Linked DNA regions of Astyanax mexicanus. The protein of the gene in region 1 purifies or fractionates together with the protein of each later gene. This does not show direct contact. Links are inferred from orthologs where the notes say so. Each region holds a gene or a part of one and is shown on either strand. Other genes may lie near its edges. The genes, in order: bcar1 and bcar3.

Evidence for each region.
Region 2: the proteins of bcar1 (region 1) and bcar3 purify together in Homo sapiens (co-immunoprecipitation; 4 studies listed by BioGRID and IntAct, counting the BioPlex papers as one, with this or other methods). This does not show direct contact. The link is inferred for Astyanax mexicanus from reciprocal best matches to the Homo sapiens genes BCAR1 and BCAR3.

Annotation. Positions count from the first base shown.
Region 1 is NC_064416.1:26,067,563-26,079,493, forward strand, and holds the start of bcar1 (breast cancer anti-estrogen resistance protein 1), read left to right. Parts: upstream 1-6,508; 5' UTR 6,509-7,080; coding exon 7,081-7,092; intron 7,093-11,931. UniProt on the Homo sapiens protein: Docking protein which plays a central coordinating role for tyrosine kinase-based signaling related to cell adhesion. Implicated in induction of cell migration and cell branching. Involved in the BCAR3-mediated inhibition of TGFB signaling.
Region 2 is NC_064419.1:45,427,017-45,438,291, reverse strand, and holds the start of bcar3 (breast cancer anti-estrogen resistance protein 3), read left to right. Parts: upstream 1-6,661; 5' UTR 6,662-6,932; intron 6,933-11,275. UniProt on the Homo sapiens protein: Acts as an adapter protein downstream of several growth factor receptors to promote cell proliferation, migration, and redistribution of actin fibers.

The DNA.
Region 1 (11,931 bases):
TAATTTGTTCTTTTTTTTCTTGTTCGTAAAGCAGCATCACAGCTGAAGAAACTGGAGGGGTAAAGCGTACAGAGTGCAGTCCCCCTCTCTGGCCATGGGGCACATGGGTCCTCCTTTTTTGCATGCAGTCTGAGTACAGTAGGTTAGACAGAGCAGGCACAGATCAATAATGCGAGCAGAGTAAAACCCTCACACTGGGATAGAGACTCCTGGCTTGTGGCAGTTTACACTGGAAAAAAGTGGTGTTTTGTTTGTTTGAGTTACATTAGATCTTTTGATATCAACACAGAAGTGTCTTTGAAACATATTAATAGTGATAGCTTTGATGAAATTTATTTATGTGGAAATTAGGGTAAAAATGCAACAGAATGCTCATGTTCTCTGTGTATAAAAGCAGCCTCATGGATCTGTAGGTAGTCATCTAGAATGCCTGATGTATATTTGGCACAAACTTCACATCCAGGCATGTGTAACTGTCTGTCACCAAGTGCAGGGCTTCAAATGAGGCCAGGGTCTTTACAAATAGACACCACTGTTGCGAGGATAATTATAAACAATCGCGGGAAAGTGAGCCAAAAATAACAGCAGGGTAACATGTTCCAAATGCCACTAACCTTCCAGCTCCAGCTCCTTCTGCTCTGGCCTCTGTCACAGTAAAGAGACCCCATTTGTTAATGCGTTGAGATGAACAAACTGTGCAGAAGTCAGTTAGCTGTAGTCTTCCAGCCCAAGGCTTTTTTTTATTTTGATTTCCCACCATGCAGCACTTACAGCAAAAAAATAGATAGATGGATAGATCAAGCAATTTTTAATCCCATGGTTGAATTTTCACATTGCAGTAGCCCCATGTACTTTATAATGTTCTTTTCTATAAAGTATAGATGCACAATGATATCGGAATTATATTTCAACGTCATACTTGCTGACATTTGTTGTATGACATACATGTACCAAGCATTGAAACATGAACGATTTAAAAAAAAAAACAGCAAAAATATGATTTCAAGTTTATCTACACTAGTGTATGTTGCCTCTACACAACAACTTCATTTAATTTTCTGAGATTCTGCTGTGTAAGATTTTAAAAATAAGCTGAAAATATTAAAATTTTCAGAAGCTCTGCATTATTTTAATGAAGTGAGGAAGAGGTTTCTGAGGCAGGAGCTGTTTGAACCCTTGTTCCAGACCCCTAGCACATTTATAAGCTAAAACTATTAAAACTAATTTCACGTTTCCCAAAGGTACAGCGTTCTTCCTAACATACAATGTACTGATTACAGCAAGGAGGTGAGGGATAATACAACTATTTGAAGGTCACAATTGAACCCCTGTCCTTCTGCCCCTGATTAAGTGTATAATTAAAAGCCATTTTCAGTGTTCAAGGCTGCTGCCGTCAGAAATCATCTTTGGGAAAAGATGCCTCTGGTGAGTGAAAGAGTCCATACACTACATCTGGTGAAATAACCATTATTCTGTTCTTCTTTCTTTTCTGGGGTCTTTTGGTTACAGTAATGTTCTAAAATCCAGTGCCTTAACCGTTAAACCATGTACTTCAGTTTTTTTTTTGCCCTCATAACTGCAGTTCTGCAATTCTCAGTGAAATAACAGCAATTTTATATATACCATCATGGAACCCTGTGGGACTCTTAACTGTTAGCAAATGTCTTATAGGCATTTATTCATTATGATTAAAGATCTAGGGTTCAGAAGGTTAATATTACTAAATAATAAAGATAATGCTGCCGTGGTAGGCCCTAAACAATTTTCTTAAGTCCTTGTTTTCTTACTGCACTAGATTTTTAGGGAAAGGGCAACTCGAACTTTTTATAAAGTAAAAAAAAAAAACTTTCGTTTAGTTGCCAGGAGCCAATGAGAAGGGTCTAATTTTTATTTAAAATGGCTGTAGTTCACACACAAGCAGCAATATCAATGTACAACCAAATGCTTAGACCCCCTTCAGCGTCAGACTGAGCATGTGCAGAGTATACTGGTCTGGTTTCAGCTAGGCTTCAACTACAATTTGTAAATTTTGCCAACACAGGTTATTTAGTCAGTTAGTGTGAATTAAGTTAGATGAGGCAATTGGTTTGTTGTACTTAATTTTTACTTTAAAATCACATTAAGAAGAAGAATGTAAAGTTTTTTTTATACACGTTGCACTGAATTAAAACTAAATCAGTCTTGTCCAATCGGAGGAGCACCACATCATCCAGCTAACAGAGAAATCTTTTTCTGTGAATTACTGGTACAGATGGTAAAAATGTCTAGTTAAATAAAGAACGACATTTTGGCTCTGAAAAACACTGGTTCTCCTGTCGATCATGCTGAACATTGCTCCCCTCTGCATGATCTTGTGATGGGAAGCATTATACAGCCGATCCTGACAAGCTGACATCATAACACTGTGAGAGCTTCATTAAAGTGAGTGCTCAAATTTTGACATCTACTACTACAAGCTGTCAGAATGACCTCGTCCAATTTACAGGAATTGTGTTTTCAGCCTGAAGACAAAAACAGATGACTGACGTCTGGAGCACCTAATCTGGGTTCTTCATGAGCTGAAATGTTGCAGTTAGTCAGATAACTTCATGCAAAGTCAGGCTTTATTAAATGGTCACAGAAAATGTTATTCATATTGAAGATCAGATCTCTCATACTCCAGTTCTGTTATGTATATATTTTAATCAAATAATAAACGTGTCCCATAGCTTACATAATAGTGTTTTGTCTTTGGTAATATTTGGTAGCATGATTTTGTATGGTTTTTTTTTTTTTTTTTGACAGAACACATTTCAAACCCCTTGCAAGGTTTATTAGTACAAAAGCATCCAATACTTGGAGCAGCTAGTGGTTTGTTGGCTGTGAGGTTTGACTGCATGTTAACATTTTCTTAGAAAGGGAAAAGAGATCAGATCAAAAGGTTTAGAGAAAAGACCACTGACTTGCACAAACCTGAAAAAGGATACAAAAAGATAGCAATGGCACTGAACGTTCTGACAGACACAGCTGATGCATATTTCACTAGTTCACTGGCTGCACCTTATGGTGGCAGAAAGAGGCAGAAAGAGGACATTATTACTGGCTGACACTAGACTCCTGAGGAGGCAGGTGGTCAAGAATCATTAAGTGACTGCAAAAGACTGTGGCAGCAAACACTGAGCTTTTAGTTTGCACATTGATCTCCATGACCCTATATACCTCTTCTGACCTAAGTCATTAGAAACTGGAAAATTTGATTCAGTATAGATAACTGTTATCAGTGTTGCCTCAGGCAATGGTTTCGCTGTGAGGTGTTTTTGGATGATGCTGTTCATGGATGATGGTTGGATGCAACTTGGACCTTTCAGGAAGTCTGACTCCAGTAGTTTGTAATTTATCACACCCTGTCCCTGATCAGCAGTCGTGTACAGTGGGGAGAACAAGTATTTGATACACTGCTGATTTTTCAGGTTTTCCCAATTGCAAAGCATGTGGAGGACTGAAATTATTATCATAGGTACTCTTCAACTGTGAGTGATGGAATCTAAAACAAAAATCCAGAAAAATACATTGTATGATTTTTAAATAATTAATTTCCATTTTATTGTGGGAAATAAGTATTTGATCATCTATCAATCAGAAAGAATTTTGGCTCTCACAGACATGTTACTTCTTCTTTAAGAAGCCCTCCTGTTCTCCACTCATTACCTGTATTAACTGCACCTGTTTGAACTCGTTACCTGTATAAAAGACACCTGTCCACACACTCAATCAGTCAGACTCCAGCATCTCCACAATGCCCAAGACCAGAGAGCTGTGTAAGGACATCAGGGATAAAATTGTAGACCTGCACAAGGCTGGGATGGGCTACAGGACAATAGGCAAGCAGCTTGGTGAGAAGGCAACAACTGTTGGTGCAATTATTAGAAAATGGAAGAAATGCAAAAATAACGGATAATCTCCCTCGGTCTGGGGCGCCATGCAAGATCTCACCTCGTGGAGCATCGATCTTGAGGAAGGTGAGGAATGAGCCCAGAATTACACGGCAGGACCTGGTCAATGACCTGAATAGAGCTGGGACCACAGTCTCAAAAAAACGATCAGTAACACTCTACGCCGTCAAGGATTAAAATCCTGCAGTGCACGCAAGGTGCCCTTCCTCAAGCCAAAGCCCGTCTGAAGTTTGCAAATGACCATCTGAATGATCCAGAGGAGGAATGGGAGAAGGTCATGTGGTCTGATGAGACAAAAATAGAACTTTTTGGTTTAAACTCCACTCGTCATGTTTGGAGGAAGAAGAATGATGAGTACAACCCCAAGAACACCATCCCAACCGTGAAGCATGGCGGTGGAAACATCATTCTTTGGGGATGCTTTTCTGCAAAGGGGACAGGACAACTGTGTGAAGGATGGATGGGGCCATGTATCGTGAGATTTTGGCCAACAACCTCCTTCCCTCAGTAAGAGCACTGAAGATGGGTCGTGGCTGGGTCTTCCAGCATGATAACGACCCAAAACACACAGCCAGGGCAACTAAAGAGTGGCTCCGTAGGAAACATTTTAAGGTCCTGGAGCGCCTAGCCAGTCTCCAGACCTGAATCCAATAGAAAATCTTTGGAGGGAGCTTAAAGTCTGTGTGGCCCAGCGACAGCCACGAAACCTGAAGGCTCTGGAGGAGATCTGTATGGAGGAGTGGGCCAAAATCCCTGCTGCAGTGTGTGCAAACCTTGTCAAGAACTACAGGAAACGTCTCATCTCTGTAATTGCAAACAAAGGTTTCTGTACCAAATATTAAGTTTCTTTTTCTGGTGTATCAAATACTTATTTCCCACAATAAAATGGAAATTAATTATTTAAAAATCATACAATGTATTTTCTGGATTTTTGTTTTAGATTCCATCACTCACAGTTGAAGAGTACCTATGATAAACATTACAGTCTTCCACATGCTTTGCAAGTGGGAAAACCTGAAAAATCAGCAGCGTATCAAATACTTGTTCTCCCGACTGTATAAACCACAATGACTTAAAAATTCATGATTACAAGACAACAGGTTGTGTAATGCGAGCAGTAGCCTTAAGCAGTCTGGTCACTTGAAAGTCAGTGTGTGTACATGGCATAAGCAGTGCTCTTATATTCTCTACACTGAGAACATGTTGTGAGTGAAAGGAACTGTGGTACTAAGGTGAATTCTAAATTTGTAACATTCTGAAACCCCATCATCAAACACGAATGAGCATGCTCTTCAATAGACATGCAATGACTAGTAAAGTTTATTGCAACTTCCTGCACAGTGATGAAGCATTGTTCAGTCCTTCCTGCACAGTTTGTTTCCTTTCAACTCAATGTTTTTTCATCACCTGACATTCGAAACTACTCTTAAAATGTTTGAAGACCAGTGTAGTTCACTTTACATGAAACAACTAGGGTGTCTAAATGCGTATTACACCCTAATACAACAAGGTGTAGACTATATACTATATACTAATACTATAAACTAATTCTAATATATGGTATGTATTTATTGGAGTTTGATATTTTAGGTGGCCTACAAGAATGATCAGGCTAAACAAGGTAGATACCATGACCAAGCCGATCTTCCACAGCAGGACCATTTAAACCAAGCTGGCCAACCAGCATAACCAGTATTATCAGCATGACCAGCATTACCAAATTGGTTGACCACCATAACCTGCATGACCAAGCTGGTGGTCCACAGCCAGCATGATCACCAAGACTTAGCTGGTTCATTAGCCTTGACCAGAATCATCAAGCTGGATGACTAGCATGACCAAGCCAAGTTGATAGGCATGACCAAAATAAAATGCAACATACACCATGCTTGTTAACCTGTTGCTTAACAATATATGATATATGGTCCAACAGGACCCATACAAACACTCAAAGGCTGACCAATTCCATGTATGCATTGTGCATATTTGTGTATACTCAACTTGATCTTGACTTGGACTTGACATATCCTGATCCTGGTCTTGGTCTTGATTTGAACTGGACTTGGCAGTTTTGACTACAATGATGTTATTCAATTAGTACACATTTGGGACAGACCCCTCATACTGTCAGTTCAGGTCACAAAGTGTTAGAATATTAACTTATTAAAATATTAGGACCATGCCCTCACTGTACTCTGTCAAACATGTGTTTAACTGTTTTCTAGCCACACTTTAGGACTGTGCTGTGTTGTGTTCATTAAAAATTTACTGGAAATGTTTAATATTTTATCCTGTGAGTTTAGCATCAGGTGGATTTCACTGTTTATTTATCGATATTTCCTATTGAGTTGTTAATCAGTACGGTTTCCTGCCTGGATGAAGGTGTGGATGAAACCACACCACTGCTTATAGCAAGAGACTGTCCCTTTAAACTGAAGTTGAGAGAGAGACACAGAGAGAGGGGATATAGAAAGAGAGAGATACTGAGAGAGAAAGAGTGAGAAACTAAGAGAGAGAGACAGAGATACTGAAAGAGGCTGATAGAGAGAAAGAGAGATATACTGAGAGCAAGAGATACTGAGAAAGACACTGAGAAAGAGAGAGATATTGAGAGACAGATACTGAAAGAGAGAGAGAGAGAGAGAGGGACTGGCTCTGGCTCTGCAGCGAGTTGACAGGCTCCAGCTCCGCACAGCCGCAGTACTCACGCGGTCAGTGAGTGTGCGCGTGAACTAGCGGTGAAGCTAGCGGTCAGTAACGGCAGCGCGCGGGTCTCTCGCTCGTGTTTTCGTGCGGGTGGTGAGGCTGTGGAAGGGAGGAAGGGACTGGAGCTCTGAACGCTTCCCGTTTGAGGTGGACTGCGCTCTGCTGGGTGGGAGAATATTCCTGACACTAACCTCTCAGCAGCTTCAGAGAGAGAGAGAGAGAGAGCGCCGCGGAGCCCCGGTTTATACAGCGGACAGCATGGAGTAGAGCTGCACTGACCCACCGACCGACCGACCGCGACACCAGCTCACACATTCCGCGGGGTTATCTCTCTCTCTGTATCTTCTCTGTGTGTGAGAGCGCTCTTAAACACAGCCAGAGCGGAGCAGCCTGGTCGGGTACAGTCTCCAGAGAGCTGCAGTGGACTGGGAAGGACCACAAGATGTCTGTACCGGTAAGAAATGATGATAAAATTAACTTATTGTTATTATTTATCTGTTAGAACAGTGAAGCTGCTCTGCTTGACTGTAGCTGAATTCTGAGAGCTGTTCCTCTGACTTTCTCCAGCACCTTACTAACAAACAGCTTCAGCTTCACAGTCCCCACAGACTCTACCTGCTGTATTTACATAGATATCAGCCTACTGGACTACTGCTCTTATTATAATACATACTGTGTTATTATATTACTGTACTGAATTCTATACAGTACACTTAAACAAGTAATTCTAGAATTGATTGTACATTTCACATTTCCCACATATCTCATTTGTATGGTATTTTTACTTTTTTGACCAGTTCTTAAAAATATAAGCCAGTACCTAGCTGGCATTTTAACGATGAAATGCCAGTTTATGGTTGAACGTTTTATTTGGTGTTGATTTTAAAAAGTGAGTCAACATTGATATTGCAACGTTGTTTCAGCGTTGTACGTTTAAACTTTACTAAACCCTAGCTCACTAAAACTAAAAAAAATCACATGATTAACAAAGTGTTAACCATAAACCATCACTACCAATCTGATTCAACATCTGATCTCAAAAACACAATACAAATAGAATGATGAAGGTATGATGAAGAATTGGTGCCCAAATAAAAATGCAATCACAGCAAATTGAAATTAAACCACTTTTTCATCCCTCCATTCAACCGTTTTTTTAAATTGTACACAGAAAAGGCAGAAAGTTGAAAAAATTATGTTGATTTACTGTTAAAATGTTAAAGTTTTCACAATTATTTAACACTAAATGTTGTTTCAACGTTGTTCCAACGTTGAAACAACAACAGACATTACTTCAAACATATTTCAACCACATTTCAACACATTGAAGGTCCCTTGTGTGCCAGCTGGGTAATAACGTTCAGGTTACACTATAAATAATGCTTGAGTTTTCTTTTTACCACAATTTATACACAACCCACTGTCTTCCTATTGATATGTTTGTACTAGGTCTGCGCAATATATAATTTCTGTACAGATAACGCAATGTACACATGCAATAGTCACACCACAGGACGTGCAATGATTTCTGCACTGTCAAATTTAAAAAGAAAAAAAAAAAACATGACCAAAATGTAATGCAACATACACCCTGCATGTCAATCTGTTGCTTACCCAGTGCCCATATACACACACTCAAAGGCTGACCAGTTCCATGTATGCGTTGTGAATATGTGTACCGGTATACCCAGCTTGGTCTTGACTTGGACTTGACATGTCCTGGTCTTGGTTTTGACTCGGACTCGACTCTGGTGGTTCTGACTACAATGCTGTTATTCAATTAGTACACATTTGGGACAGACCCCTCATACTGTTAGTTCAGGTCACAGAGTGTTAGAATAGTAATTGATTAAAATATTATGACCACGCCCACACTGTTCACTATCAGACAAGTGTGTGTTTAACTTTTTTCAGTAATAATAGCTACTATTTACATTCAGTTTGCATTATTATTAATTATTATAACGGATTGTTAAAAAGAATAAATACCAGTACATCAACATTGATCTAATATATTCAGGTGAATATATTACCTGCATTTTAGCAAAATACATTTTTTAAATGTTTTTGCTGATACAAAGAAAAAATCATACTATTCTAGTTGTACATGACAATATCTAACAGATTGATGATTATATATACCCAATATCATTTGTTTTACTCTAACTAATGATACACATATTTCATTAATAACATTTACATGCTGGTTGATTTGCTTTAGGTGAAAATTCCTGTGTTTCTTAAAATTAAAATATACATCACAGAACAACTAAATATGACAGTTTTTAGTAAACAATACAATCCTGTGTTTAGACGTGCTTTGTGAAATCAGTTTGGTGTTATGGCACGAAATTGTGGAAAATGTCAATTATTCATATTGACGACTCAATAAGATAACGATATTAATGATTTAATTTTTGAATGGGCCAAATAGGCTGTTCCATGAACATGGCGTGTCTGTGATTCCCATATCAGGCAGCTCAGACCTGTAGGGAGTTGTGTTATCTCTCATCTGCTGTGGAAACTGGCCTGGGTGTTGTTATGCTGCAAACTGGCTGATACCAGCTGGAGAGTACGGTACGAGATTGGATTTCCAGAGCTATTACTCTGCGTATACAGTACCAACCCCCATAAATAAATCACTGTACTGACAACAGTAGAGGGAAAAGCCAAATCCTCATTCAGTGTTCTGTCCAGCCCGGAGACAAACAAATACATAATTGGCAGAAAGAGGCTCATTGGTTGTATATGCCAAATATGAGCTCGTTTGTTTGTCACAAAGAGGTGCTTTTTAAATTATGACTACATTCACTGAGCCACTGGGTTTTACAACAAACATTTGAAATAGTTAACATTAACAATGAGCTCTCAGGTGCTGACATTCATTATTCGTTTTAATACATGTGTGGAATAACTTATGGTTACACTGTGTAAACTCTATATGTAGAAACTAATCATAGAATAGTGTGGTTATAATACTTTTTACAGTGCATTCTGTTTTTTTTTTTTACATTTTGGTGATACTGTGTGTGATATAGTGTTGACTGTCTAGATTTTGCTTGTTATAAAAACTCTTTAGAATACATACTGGTTCTGCACTGAGTACATCATGATTATACTTTGTAGACTATAGTCACACAGTCTTACATATTCTTAAATATGGACTATTTAAGATTGGAATACTTGAATCTTGAATATGTAGATAACCCCATTCCGGCAGCTGGTCCCAGTCTGCACCAGTTGGCCACTGTGCAGCATTAAGGCTGCGTTTTACTCAAGCCGTGTGAGATTTAGTGAGTGGCCCTCAGGGACACAAAACTTTAGAAGCTTGCCAATTACAGAAATAGCACTCTGCCTGCAGAGAGACAGAGCAAGGCAACATGCCTTATTTTGTTTCCTGCCCGTTTTCCGGAGAATCCCACCTCCTGCTTACAGGCAGTAAAATGTTAGTGAGGATGACCTGCTAGCCAGTCAGAGCACAGGTGGGTGGGTCCTCTCTAAATACAGGTGGGGGGAAACAGACTGCGGTGTCCCTTGGGGCAGAGAGGGGCTAATTCGGGTCCTGTCTGTTTAAGTAGCAACCAATATAAATGCTGCAGAGGTTTGTGGAGTGCTGTGTAGAAGTAATGTGGAAGTATAACCTGGTTCTCTGGTGTTCACCACTTCAGGCTATGTGCTTGGGAAGATATATCAGCCTATATCTTTTACATTCCATTTGTTCATTGTGGAATCTTCTGTGTGGTGAAAACACAGCTCTGTGCATGTGCTAGCTTGATTGAGTTGCAATAACATGCTTTTTGCGTCAAGATTGCATCTTACTACCATTTGGCCAGATGCCTTTCATATCTTGTAAATGTGTGAGCAAGTGGAAAACTGCAGCAAAAACATCAACGAAACATCTGTATTCTCCATCTCCTGTTGGAACATCTCAATGTAGTCTGATTGATTGGAACATACTCTGATCACATTGGGTTCTGGTTGGGTGTACACCTGGAGTTTAGTGAAAATGTATATTGCTGCAATGTGTAAACCACCTATAATTGTATTTCAATCATAACACTCAAACACTGAATATCCTTTTGTGCAAAGAAAATGGAAATTGCTATGGAATTTGTAGTGTAAAAAACAGTAAATATGAATAGCAAAAATTATATTGGCATGTCCACAAGTTCAGTCCCTTTCCTTAGCCAAACTGGGATTATAAATAGTAGACTTTGCTCTTTAAGCCAGACTGACAGTTTAAAGTGTTAAAGGAAAAATTTAAGACCGTTAAATAACACCAATCAAAAACACAAATAAAGCAACTATAAATGAAATATACCTGCAACAATAACTTGTCAGATTGCTAATTGATGTTTTGATGGTTTGGTTACTGAATTGGCTGATTCAGAGTTACCACTAACTAAGCAGAGGAAGTAAGTGGGTACTTGATGGCTGCTAGGCTAGAAGCTAACCAAGCCAACTGCTTACAGTCTCTTCTGCTATTTACCAGCAAATTGCGCTGAATAAACACTGAGAGAACCCAAAGAACACAGAAGGAAATTTGGAAAGTGCTAAAGCTATGTTGTGCTCTGTATTTTTATTTTTACAGGAAAACATTTGTTTTATTTAAGTCCATGTAACGGGCAAATATGCTTGTAAAACTGCATCTGAGCTATTTTTGCCCCAACCAAAGTCACACAGTTACTATTACACATCAAAGAACAACTTAAAATATTAAATTAGTGAATTCCACTGCAACTTTATACAAAACCCTTGCTATCAGAATGTGAGGATCCACCCCTGTACACCTGAAGTGATGGATTTAAGCAGCAGCTTAGACATATTTAGATTTTGTTGAGGTATGGATGGGCGTGATATGAAAACAAAGCAGGTTTTGAAATGTAGCAGAGAGAAAGTACGTAGTGGACAGAGTTTTGTTTACGTCCGCTACCCAAAATGAATCTCAAGCTGCATCTTCTCACCACTTTTGCTCGTACCACCGGCTCTATTCTTTGTCATTTCACAAACTGCCACTCTGTCGAAGATTCACTTTCCATCACACGGCGTAGCAGAGCATGCAGGGACTACATAATAGGGAGAGTGTGTACTGTCCACAATGGTGTAAGTGTGTGTCCTCTGTTTAAGTCTCTTCACAGTTATGAGAAAGGCATGGTAGCCATAAAATGTTTTCAGACTCGCAGTTTATTTATTCAGTGGCTACAACAATGAACCAGTGTACCTTGGTGGCTGTAAATGAAGCATTGTGTAATTTAACCACCAGTTCTGCAGTTCTTGCAGAGGTACTAAAATG
Region 2 (11,275 bases), on another chromosome or scaffold:
ATTTTTTTCATTTCTCTTCTAAGCAATGACTTTATTCCTGCAGTTCTTCACCTGTCAGACGTCTAATTCTTTTCTTCTCTGCTGAAACTGAGACTCAGTCTTTAATCATGTTAATCTGAGCTAAAGGCTAAAGCTGCTGTTTCCATGTGGGTCAGCCAGACGTGAATCTTCCTGTAGCAGTTTTTTTTCTCCAGTTTCCAAGAGTCTTTTGAAGGTGTAGGAAACAGTACTCACCGCTCTCTGGCTTCATCTGTAATTTCTATAAAGAAAAGACTTATACTTTTAATAGTTACAGAGTTCTCTGTGTTTTATCTGTGTCTTTTTCTAGTTATTATGATGAAAGTGTGACTACATACAAATAGTTTGTAAAATCCATTTCCGAAGCTCAGTTTATGTCCATTGCTAATTTATTTATTTTACACTATATTTGTACCATTTATGATTGAGTATGTTCTACACTATCAGAGGCACACTGCTGCTGCTGCAGCTCAGCCAATCAGCTCTCCCACCTGCCCCGCCCCTAAACCCATACATCACCCAGTGCCCCGCAAAAAAAAAACCCTTTGTTTTTGTTTTTTTTTTAGCCTTTTTAAATTCAAGCTAAAGGTGGAGGGTGAAATATGGGGGTTAGTGCCCTTTTAAGAAATGGAACCCACATCTATCAGACTTCGCTCACAAGATAACACCTCCAATGTATACAGGTGTGTGCATTTCCAAGCCATCTCATGAGGCATCGCTTTATGATCAGTTTAAATACTGCTTGCCTTTTGCCAGAAAAGGTATGAATGACCTCATTGTGACCTAATTTGTCACCATAATCGATCGTGTTTCCGTGTGTATTGTGAGCAGGCTCAGTTTCCAGTGATTCAGCTCAGACGCAGGTGAGTGAGAGTGATAAATGATGGCTGTGGTGGTGAATAGACCTGCCTTGTGGGCCGTAGATGGTGGAGACATGGACAATGCACAGACATGGAGCTGCTGCTGCAGTGTGACCATGCCTAGACAGCACTTATTGGTACTGGAAGGAAAATGCAAATGGATTTTTTACTTTTATTTTACTTTTACTTTGATTGCTGACAATATAAATACAAGGTATTTCATGTTTTGCCTGCTTAACTTTTTAAAAAATAATTTATTAATTTACTTTCCTACATTTCAGACCATCAACACCTTACAAAAAAGCTTTGTAATATTGCTATTCCAACAATTAACCCTCCTGTCGTGTACATTTATCAGGAACAGCAATGGTGTCCCCGGGTCAATTTGATCCGGTGCATGTTTAAATATACAATAATATCCGAAACAATAATTATTTTAAAAAATCCAAACAAGCAAAGTGAATATTTTATCATCAATTTTCTATCAATATTTAGTGCAGTGGTGTTCCTTACCTCTAATAGGTAATGGTTCAATCAGGATAGTCACTCAATAAAAAAAAAAAAAAAAAAAACATGTTAAACTTTTTTTTAATGTTTCACTACTTTACTACTTTTCAAAGACCAACATATTAGACAAAACAGCTTTACATAACATTAAAACATAACTTTGTATTTTGTTTTAGTTTTTGTTAGTTTTATGTTAGTTTTGTGGATTACACTAATTAAGGCAAGCAGAAGAAGTTTTATACTGAAAAAAAAAAACTATTTTTAACTATTTTTCCTAGATCTTCAAACTTTTAAATGGGTCACTTTTGACCCGTAAAATGACAGGAGGGTTGAAAGCCATGCCTTTTTAATATCTGGCACATGTGGTTTTGCACTGTTTCGTTGAAAATGCATGAACATGTCTTTGCTATCATAATGACGGGAAAAGTACAACTTGCACGTCTGAAAACGTGCAAAAGGCATCTACTAATTCTCTTAGTTAATCATGGGTGTGATTTGGGAATAAAACAAATAAAATAATAAACCAAGCAGCGTGTCACTTGCCATTTCCTTTAAGAGCCAGGTGTGCTCTGACTTTGGCACATTGCTATTTTAATGGCGCAGCTACCTGCATATGTTCAACTCTGTCTGTGGCTGTAGAAGGAGAAATCTGACACTTTAGAATCTGATAATTAATCATGTTAAGCAGTTATGCAGAATTGTTTGAGCAGCATGTTGACTGGTAAACAGATCAGGTGTGATGGTGACCTCAGGCAGGGATATGAGAGTAGGGAGTATAGTGTGTGTGGATGGTGAGGAATTCTGTGTTTGGAGGAGATCAGTGTTGTGTTCTCAGGGTGCAGATTTTCACTGTGAGCTTGAACTGCCTGTCAGGGCAGGACTGTCCAGAGGCAACCTTTCTCTCTCTCTTTCTATCTCCCCCTGTCTCTCTTTCTCTCTGTCTCTCTTTCTCTATGTCTGTATCTCTCTCCCTGCTCCCTGTATCTCTCTTTCTCCCTCTTTGATGATACAGCCATCACCTGTGAAAGCTAGAATAAAAAAGCTCTTTAAGTATTTTCTTTTGCACTTTAAACAGATAATAGAATAAAAACGAATTACCTTCATAAAAAAGGTGTGCTTTTATGTTTTAAGTTTTTTATTTACTTATTAAATCCTGTATATTAGCCCACACTCATAACTGCAATTCCATCACAATTAGCATCAGTTTCATAGACCCAAAAAAAAAAAAATAGATACTTGTGGAAACTCCACAATAGACACTAAACTGTTACAAAATAAATTATAGTACCGTTTGTTTGTTTTTTCGCACTATAAAGCGCAATAACAATGAACACTTATTTTCTGGTCTATTTTCAAATATAAGGCGCATTTTAAGAGGCACTATAAGGAACGTCTAACTAAGTTAAGTAAAGCTAAGCTAAGTAAACAAAACTGTAAATCTTAAAAAAGACTTTCTTTTAAAGTTAAACGAGCGCTCGATGTTAATCTACACAGATTTCTCTCCTGAAAATTGTTTATTTGGGTGAGTAAAGCACTTCCGTTTAATTTAAGTAAGCTTAAATTCACAAATTTCTCCAGCACTAAGGCTGGAGGATTAGCATTGTGCTGGCTGACAGCGCTACACAGAGGAACCCTGAGTGTTTTGGAAAGCCAGGGCGATATCAGCTAGCATGTAGTCCTATGTAGCTTGTTTTAAGATGGTAAACACGTAGATACAGTTCGGGTAATGCTAATGCTGCTCCAGCAGTGCTAGCCAGGGTTAGGAGCAGTTTACAGTCTGATAACACACACCTCTGAACGGGGAAAATAGCGTTTAGCGGCTAATGCTAATGCTACTCTAGCCTCAGTGCTGGAGAACTAGCTGAAACTCCTGGATAAAGCTGTACTTCAGCGGAGTGGCTTTACTGCTACTGACTGGTCAAATTCATACATAAGGCATCCCGGCATTTTTTGGGAAAATTAAAGGATTTTAAGTGTGCCGTATAGTGAGAAAAATACGGTATTATGCGGTTTCCACATTGTCATTGATTGTAGAATAATAAAATTAGGGTTCATATGGTTAAAATTAAAGTGTCAACTGGGACAAAAAAAGAATACCCTTTGAGATTCTCTATAACAAGAGCCAAACTGTAACAGTAGTCGACGCTAAGCTCTATATCACAGGCCCAGCACTACTATAAACGAGGCTGCTGTATGGAAGTGCTTTGAGAAAGTGTCATTAGATTGAGATGAAGGGCTTGGTAGAGCCTGTGGATGGACGTGCTCTGTTATCATTGCTTAATGGCTTTTCCTCAGTGTGAGACGATGAGAAGGAGTGGCGTGCCATCTCTGGTTTCCTTCTGAATGCCCTGCTCCAGCGGGCAGCTCCAGCGGGCAGCTCCAGCAGGCAGTAATGAGCGCACGAGTGAGCGCACAATCGCGCCTTTCTCTCCGCCAGGCCCTAATTGGTGCTACAAATATTGACATGCCAGTTTGGTGAGGCAGTGACTGTAGCAGATGACATGACTGGCAGAGCCATCCCCTGTGTGTGTGTGTGTGTGTGTGTGTGTGTGAGAGAGTGAGACAGAGTGAGAGAGCACAAATATCTTCACAATGGCTCCAGTGAGACACAAAACAAACGTGGCATTGTTGGTGGTACATTTCATGTTTACTGTAGGCGAGAGCTGAGGAGAACCCGCACACAAAGCTCTGGAGCTGCTACAATCCCCATCACTCCAACAGCTTAAAACTTGTGTATCTGTTTGGTGTTGGCAACAGCTATTAAAAGACCCAATACAAATTTCTTTATCTTAACATTTATTATTGTATATTTACAATATGATTTCAGACTTGCCATCGCCATTCAGCTCTATTAACGCCTATTTTCTGGTCTTTTTTCATACATAAATCGCTATTCTCTTTTATGGGGGGGTTTATCCTCTGTGATTTTATTCCTGTCCAGAACGTCCATGTATTCATGTTTTTCTCAGACGTCCTCTGAGAAAATTACAGGTTGAATTATCTAATGTTTTTTGCTGAACTCCGTGGACCTTTAGTCCAGTTCAGACTCACATTGCATTTAATAAAATAGCTATTTGTCCTCTGCCACACACCGTAATTGTACTTTGGGCACACGTTTCCATGGAGATCCATGTTAAAAACACAACAGCGAGTGGAAATGGAGGAGATACTGAACGCGATGTCCTTCAGCCAAAAAACTCACTGGTCCTCCTGTTTGCAAGAGTTTTATCACTGAGTAGAAGAGTAAAATATTTTACACAGACGACCCCCTGAGTAACTTATCCCGTCCGGATAGGGCTAAAGGTGCATTTTTTTTGCAACAATAGTAAGGAACAAGGGTTTCACCATGTTTCCCTTCTATAAAAATGTTTAAAAAAAAAAGGTCAAACAAGCCCTGGATGTTAATCTACACAGATGTCTTTCCTGAAAAAACTTTATTTGGGTGAGTAAAGTGCTTCTAAGCTTAGATTTTCTATAAGCATGGTCACCCTTGTAACACTACTTCAGCATTCAGTGGCTTTACTGCTCCTTAATACCTGACTGGTAGAATTAATACATAAGGTGCATGGGATTCTAAGATGCACTGGTGATTTTTGGGAAAATTTAAGGATTTTAAGTGAACCTTATAGTGTGAAAAATACAATTTGCCTTTCCTGTTCTATAAAACCCCTATCCAGATAAATCTCTCCATCCAGATAGAGTGAATCTGATTGATTGTGATTGGATGTAGAGAAGTATAAACATATACCATTCCGACTCTCTATTGGTTTATACTGTGATGCATCACACCTGCACATACCACGTCTATTTTTGCATTCTACTAAAATACAATGAGCAGATATGTAGCATTAACATTTTAATAGAACATTATATTGTGCTTAGGGGGGGGGGGGGTTGGGGGGTAGAGCACTATAGGACTTTGTGGGCGTGGCCTAATCTTTGTTCTTAATGGCTTTATTTTTTCCTCTTATATTACTAAGCAGTACTTTTACAGTTTTACTGAAAGAGTAAAAAGCTCGAGTTGATACTTCAACTTCTACAGAAGTATTTTAAACCCTAGTATCTAGTAATTAATGTGACTCAACTGATATTTTCAGCAGGATAATGCTCACCCACACATCTGTGGGTAAATGTGCTGCAGGATGCCAAAGAACTGGTGCCCTGTCCATGGGGTATTCCTGCCTTGTGCCCAGTGCTTCTGGGTGGGTTTCCAGGTCCACAAAACCCACTATAATCCTGACCGTGAAGAAGATGTGGATAGGACTGGGCATGGTGCATAAGCAGACTGCAGAGGAAATGACAGCAGAAGGTCGTATCTGCAGAAGAATGGTCAAAGCAGAGCTGAGTTAGTCTTGGCTGGCTGCCACGTGACAAGACAATAGTGAAAGCAGTGCTGTTTGTGTTCACCACTCTGTCTGCAATCTATAGTGGTGTATACAAGACCCACAGAGGCTCACAGGGACTCACAGAAGCTCAGTACACTGTGGTGTACACTGTTTTTCTGTACTGCTATGATGCTGTATGGAGCCCCTGAAGGGACGTGGTGCATTTTTTTTTTAACCAAAAAAGCGGTGAGCACCACATACTAAGTGGTGAGCACCACATTCTGAGTGGTGAGCACCACATTCTAAGTGGTGAGCACCAGATAGTAAGTGGTAAGCACCACATACTAAGCGGATATATATTAAATGAAATAAATATTATTTATCGCTGAACATGCACTGAGCTGCAAGTGTCAATGATACAAAAATGGCCAGCAACTGAATCAATAATAGAGAGTAGAAGAAATAGTAGAAGAAATAGATAACTAGATTCAATACTCTGCAGGGAACAGAGCAAACAGAGGGGTATTTATGCTAGACAGGTCAGGTGCAAACAATCAGTAACTGGGGGAGCGGGAGCGCCCCTGCACTGCAGAGTCAGGGAAGTCCGATGTGAGGCAGACTGACTGATATTGATATCAAAATGTACTTTCTTAAGGGGGCGGGATTATCTCCAGATTACAGATAGGACTGGTAATTATTGGGATTTTTTATATGGATTTTAATTGATTGATATTGAACCATATCTACTATATATTTCAATCTGTCAATCAGAGAAGGTATACCCAGTGCGGCTGAATGGAAGATGATAATGGATGTGTGGTTGGAGTGTAAGCTGTGTGTGTGTGTGTGTGTGTGTCTGCGCTGGGTGAGGAATGCTGTGTATGTCAGCATCTCTGCATGCGCTCCAGTGCAGACGAGCTGAGACGAGAGGCAAGACGAGCAGAGAGAGTGTGTATCCTGCCAGCCTGATGAGTGCACACACACACACACACACACACACACACACGCACACACACAGCGCTGCTGTGGAGGACAGTGGAGTGGAGAGCACAGTCTCTGCAGTGAGGGGAACCCGGCTGATGTAGGACAGTTCTCCAGTACACTTCAGTAACTGATTGGTTTGATTAATATTGATGCTGGAAGTGAAGCTGAGGACCTGCAGATCTACAGAGCTCACCTGGATTCAGCAGCATCCTGAATCCTGCAGATCAGCACTGCTGAGGTAAGTTCAGCACTCAGCAATCACAGCTGAGGAAACTTTTCTTCTGAACTGTTCCACTGTAGCTCTTCACTCTTCACTCTATTACAATATCTGTATCTCTTTATCTTTATCTATTTAGTGTATTCCCTAATCCTCAATTTACCCCTCTAATCTTAGTCCTAATCTTAAATTTAACGCAATAAAGAATAGTGATAGTTTGTAACACTTTAAACATCAAAAAAATTAAAAACAAAGGGTATTTCAAATAGAGTGACCCAAAAATGTCTAATTCTTATTATACAGATATGCTCTTATTAGATATAAACATAAACTGGCATGCTAAAAGTCACGAGGCAGTAGTTTGTAATGTACTAAAGTAATTCATATGGAAAAGACTACATACTGAATGTGATCTACTCATCTCTTCAGTGTATTCCATAATCCTCAGTCTAACCTTAGTCTTAATCCTAATCTTAACCTTAACACTTTTAGGAACACTGAGCGTTTGGTAAAACTTTAAACATCAAAAAGTGGGAAAAAGTGGACTAACTATGAATGTCTAAATATTAGAGTATTATGCTGCTATTTTACTATAAGATAAGCATACACTAACAGGCTGTACTAAAGCATTTCAGTAATGCATATGTGTGTACCTACAGCTCTGGAAAATAATAAGAGAGCACTTAAAAATGATTTTTAGTTTCTTTGATTTTAGCAAATTGAAAACCTCTGGAATATAATCAAGAGGAAGATGGATGATCACAAGCCATCAAACCAAATTGAACTGCTTGAATTTTTACACCAGTAGTGTAAAGAATAAAGTTATCCAAAAGCAGTGTGTAAGACTGGTGGAGGAGAACATGATGCCGAGATGCATGAAAACTGTGATTAAAAACCAGGGTTATTCCACCAAATATTGATTTCTGAACTCTTAAAACTTTATGAATATGATCTTGTTTTCTTTGCATTATTTGAGGTCTGAAAGTTCTGCATCTTTTTTTTTTTTTGTTATTTCAGCCATTTCTCATTTTCTGCAAATAAATGCTCTAAATGACAATATTTTTATTAGTAATTTGGGAGAAATATTGTTCGTAGTTTATAGACTAAAACAAGATTGTATATTTTACTCAAACATAAACCTATAAATAGCAAAATCAGAGAAACTGATTCAGAAACTTAATTGGTCTCTTAATTGTTTTCCAGAGCTGTATTTTCTTTTTTTATTGGTTACTTTAGTATTCCCTTTTCTATCTTTGTATTGTACTTTTTCTGTTTTTTGCCTACAGTTTGTGTCTAAAAGTCCTTTTTATTCTGTCTTTTTAATCAGTCTGCAATATTCAAATGTTCAATCTTTTCAATTAAATTATTTCGGACAAAAGCAAAGCTGTAATAATTGAATGCGTGCACAAAATTATTGATTATTGAAATTTAAAAAGCTTTTAGCTTTATTTTCAGAACATCAGGTTTGTTAGTGTTTAGTGTTTAAGCTGGTAGATCCTGTATGTAAAACTTACACTTCTTACAGCTCTTTACATTTTTATAGGCCCTTCAACTGAACCCTGTGGAACTCCATGATTCACAATAGTTTCTCTATTAGGAATAATAGCACAATAATTAGCCTAGGGTTTAATGGGTTGCCATGTAGACTCTGTTGTCCACTGTAATCCACCACTCCCTATTCTCTCACACTCTTGCTATTTCCCTTTGTCCCAAACCTTTAGACATGTTTCAGAAGAGATACTGCATTTACTATAAACAATAATCAATAATTTGCAAATTGGGAAAGGTGACAAGTACACCTAGTACACCACATAGTAGCCCACACTGTAGCTTTTACTTAAAGGGCAATTAAACTCTTGATTTTAGCTGACTCTACCCTCAGCTCAAATTTGAAAAAAGCAAAATAATAAGATGGATAGCTTGGAAGGGGGAACTGAGTGATGTATGGGTTTAGAGATGTGGCAGGAGGGAGAGAAGCTGATTGGCTGAGCTGCAGCAGCAGTGTGCTTCTGATAGCGGCGAGACGCAGACGGTTGGACGTCAGCAGGGGGGCGGGGGTATTATTGATTGACTGATCTGCATATTGTAATGTATCTGCGTACCAAAGTACACGGACACATTATGTTCTCCTATAGCACAGTTGAACCTGAGAGGGCACTGCAGAAGCAGAAATTACTACAATAAAAGTGTTTTTTAAAGATTAGGAAATTTTTATATACTTTTTTTCAGCAGGAATGGTATGTTTCATTACTTTAAATGACTGAAAAGTGATGCAAAGTAATGCAGAAATAATCAGAAGTGGTGACATAGCTAGCAATTTTTGGTTGGTAGAATTGTTTTGAATATTTCAAATTAATTCTGTTTTTGGATGTTTTTAGAGCGTCACTTGCCAGTGTTTTAAGTTTTAGTTTGGGAGTGTTTTAGCTTCAGTTTTTTTTTTTTTACTTTTTTCCATAATGGGAACCTCCATCTTGCTGGCAATCTAAAATTTGAGAAAGGTTCTAATCTACTGCAATGCAAACTATTGTCGAACCTTTAGAAAAAGTTGCTAAACGTTCATATAAAATTCCCTGTTATAGCTGGGTACTTTTCTGAGATACTGCAGTTATAAAGCAATCTACCCAAAGAGTTATATAAGTGAACCCTTTACATCCTGGGCTTTGGGGTCAGGTGAGTTGCTCTTCTGCGGATCTCCTGCAAAACTTGGACCAGCTTGGGCTCTTCATCAAAGTTCTGGCACTGGATCCAGACTGCAGTAACGCCGAGCTGCTTCAAACGGCTTCCATTAGAGAAATAAGAATCTGAGAGAACGGAGCTCCAGCTGAGTTCGGTTCACCAGGGCTGTGGAGCATGTGCAGTGCAGATACGGAGGGGCGTCGGGGGCGGGGGGCACTTGGTAGTAATTTGGGTGTGGTGGAGATGCTGGGAGGGATTTGGGAGGGTAGAGATAGCGAGAGAGACCTGAGGAGCCTCTGGCAGCATTTAGTCTCCCATCCCACCACAACACTGAGGCATGATGGGAGCTCACGTCTCATGTGGTCTCTCTAATCATGCAGAAAACCCGGCAAAGGCACGCACACCCAATCTGGCAACCCGGCCTTGGATAGAGGGTTTGCTGTTCCAGCTGATTGACAGAATGACAGAACGGCTAGACGGAACTTTTTTACTCTTTAGTATCTAAAGATATATTGAAATAATGTCACAATTATTTATCTATATATTGTATATTGCAGTATTGCAATACTATGTTTTATAATACTAATGTACCTACAGTGGTTCTGCCAGTCAATCACAGGCATCAGCTGTTACTGACAGCTGCCAGTCATGCAATTGGCAGATTGAGTGGTAGCTGCCAGTAAACAGGTGGTGCAGCTTGAGTGGCAGCTGCCAGGCAGCCAATGGCAGTTTATTGCCAGCTGCCAGTGAGTTAGTGGCAGGTTTGGTTAGAGTTGGAAGATTTGAATAATTTTCCTTAAACACTCCAAAACAGTGGTTTACAACATGTATCTCTGTTCATTCTTCCAATAAACAGTACCAGTCAAAAGTTTGTAAACACCTTATCATTAAAAGTTTTTTTTTATTTCTTTATGTAGTTTATTTTTTTGCATCGTAGATTAATATTAAATACATACAAAAAAAAAACAATTAAGTAAACAGCAGAAAAGTGTTAATCCTCCACATTAATCCCCTGATCTAAACCTGATGAACTAAGATGGTGATTTGGGATGAGCTGGATAAATGTGATACTTAGAAGAACCTAAAATATAAAACATATTCTGGTTTATTTAACACTTTTGACCTTTGACTGGTTCTGTATGAAGACATTTCAACCAATGTAATCAATAATCAGAAATGCGTCGTAAAGTAGGGGTTAGCCAAACAATACTCAGCGATGAGTGAGTGGATTGGAGGTGTATTTATACTGTGTGGCACAGGTGTAATCAATAATTGGGTGATGGGCTTTCGGGTAGTGTCGTGTGCAGTGTAATGTGGTTGTGTGAGGGTGTAATGTCAATGTATGGTGCGTTTTGGTTATTGTATTCTGAAGACTGGAGAACGCAGGTGGAGCTGAATGTGGGAGAGACAGGCGTAAGATGTTACATACATACAGTCATATGAAAAAGTTTGGGTACCCCTATTAATCTTAATCATTTTTAGTTGTAAATATTTGGGTGTTTGCAACAGTCATTTCAGTTTGATATATCTAATAACTGATGGACACAGTAATATTTCAGGATTGAAATGAGGTTTATTGTACTAACAGAAAATGTGCAATATGCATTAAACCAAAATTTGACCGGTGCAAAAGTATGGGCACCCTTATCATTTTATTGATTTGAATACTCCTAACTACTTTTTACTGA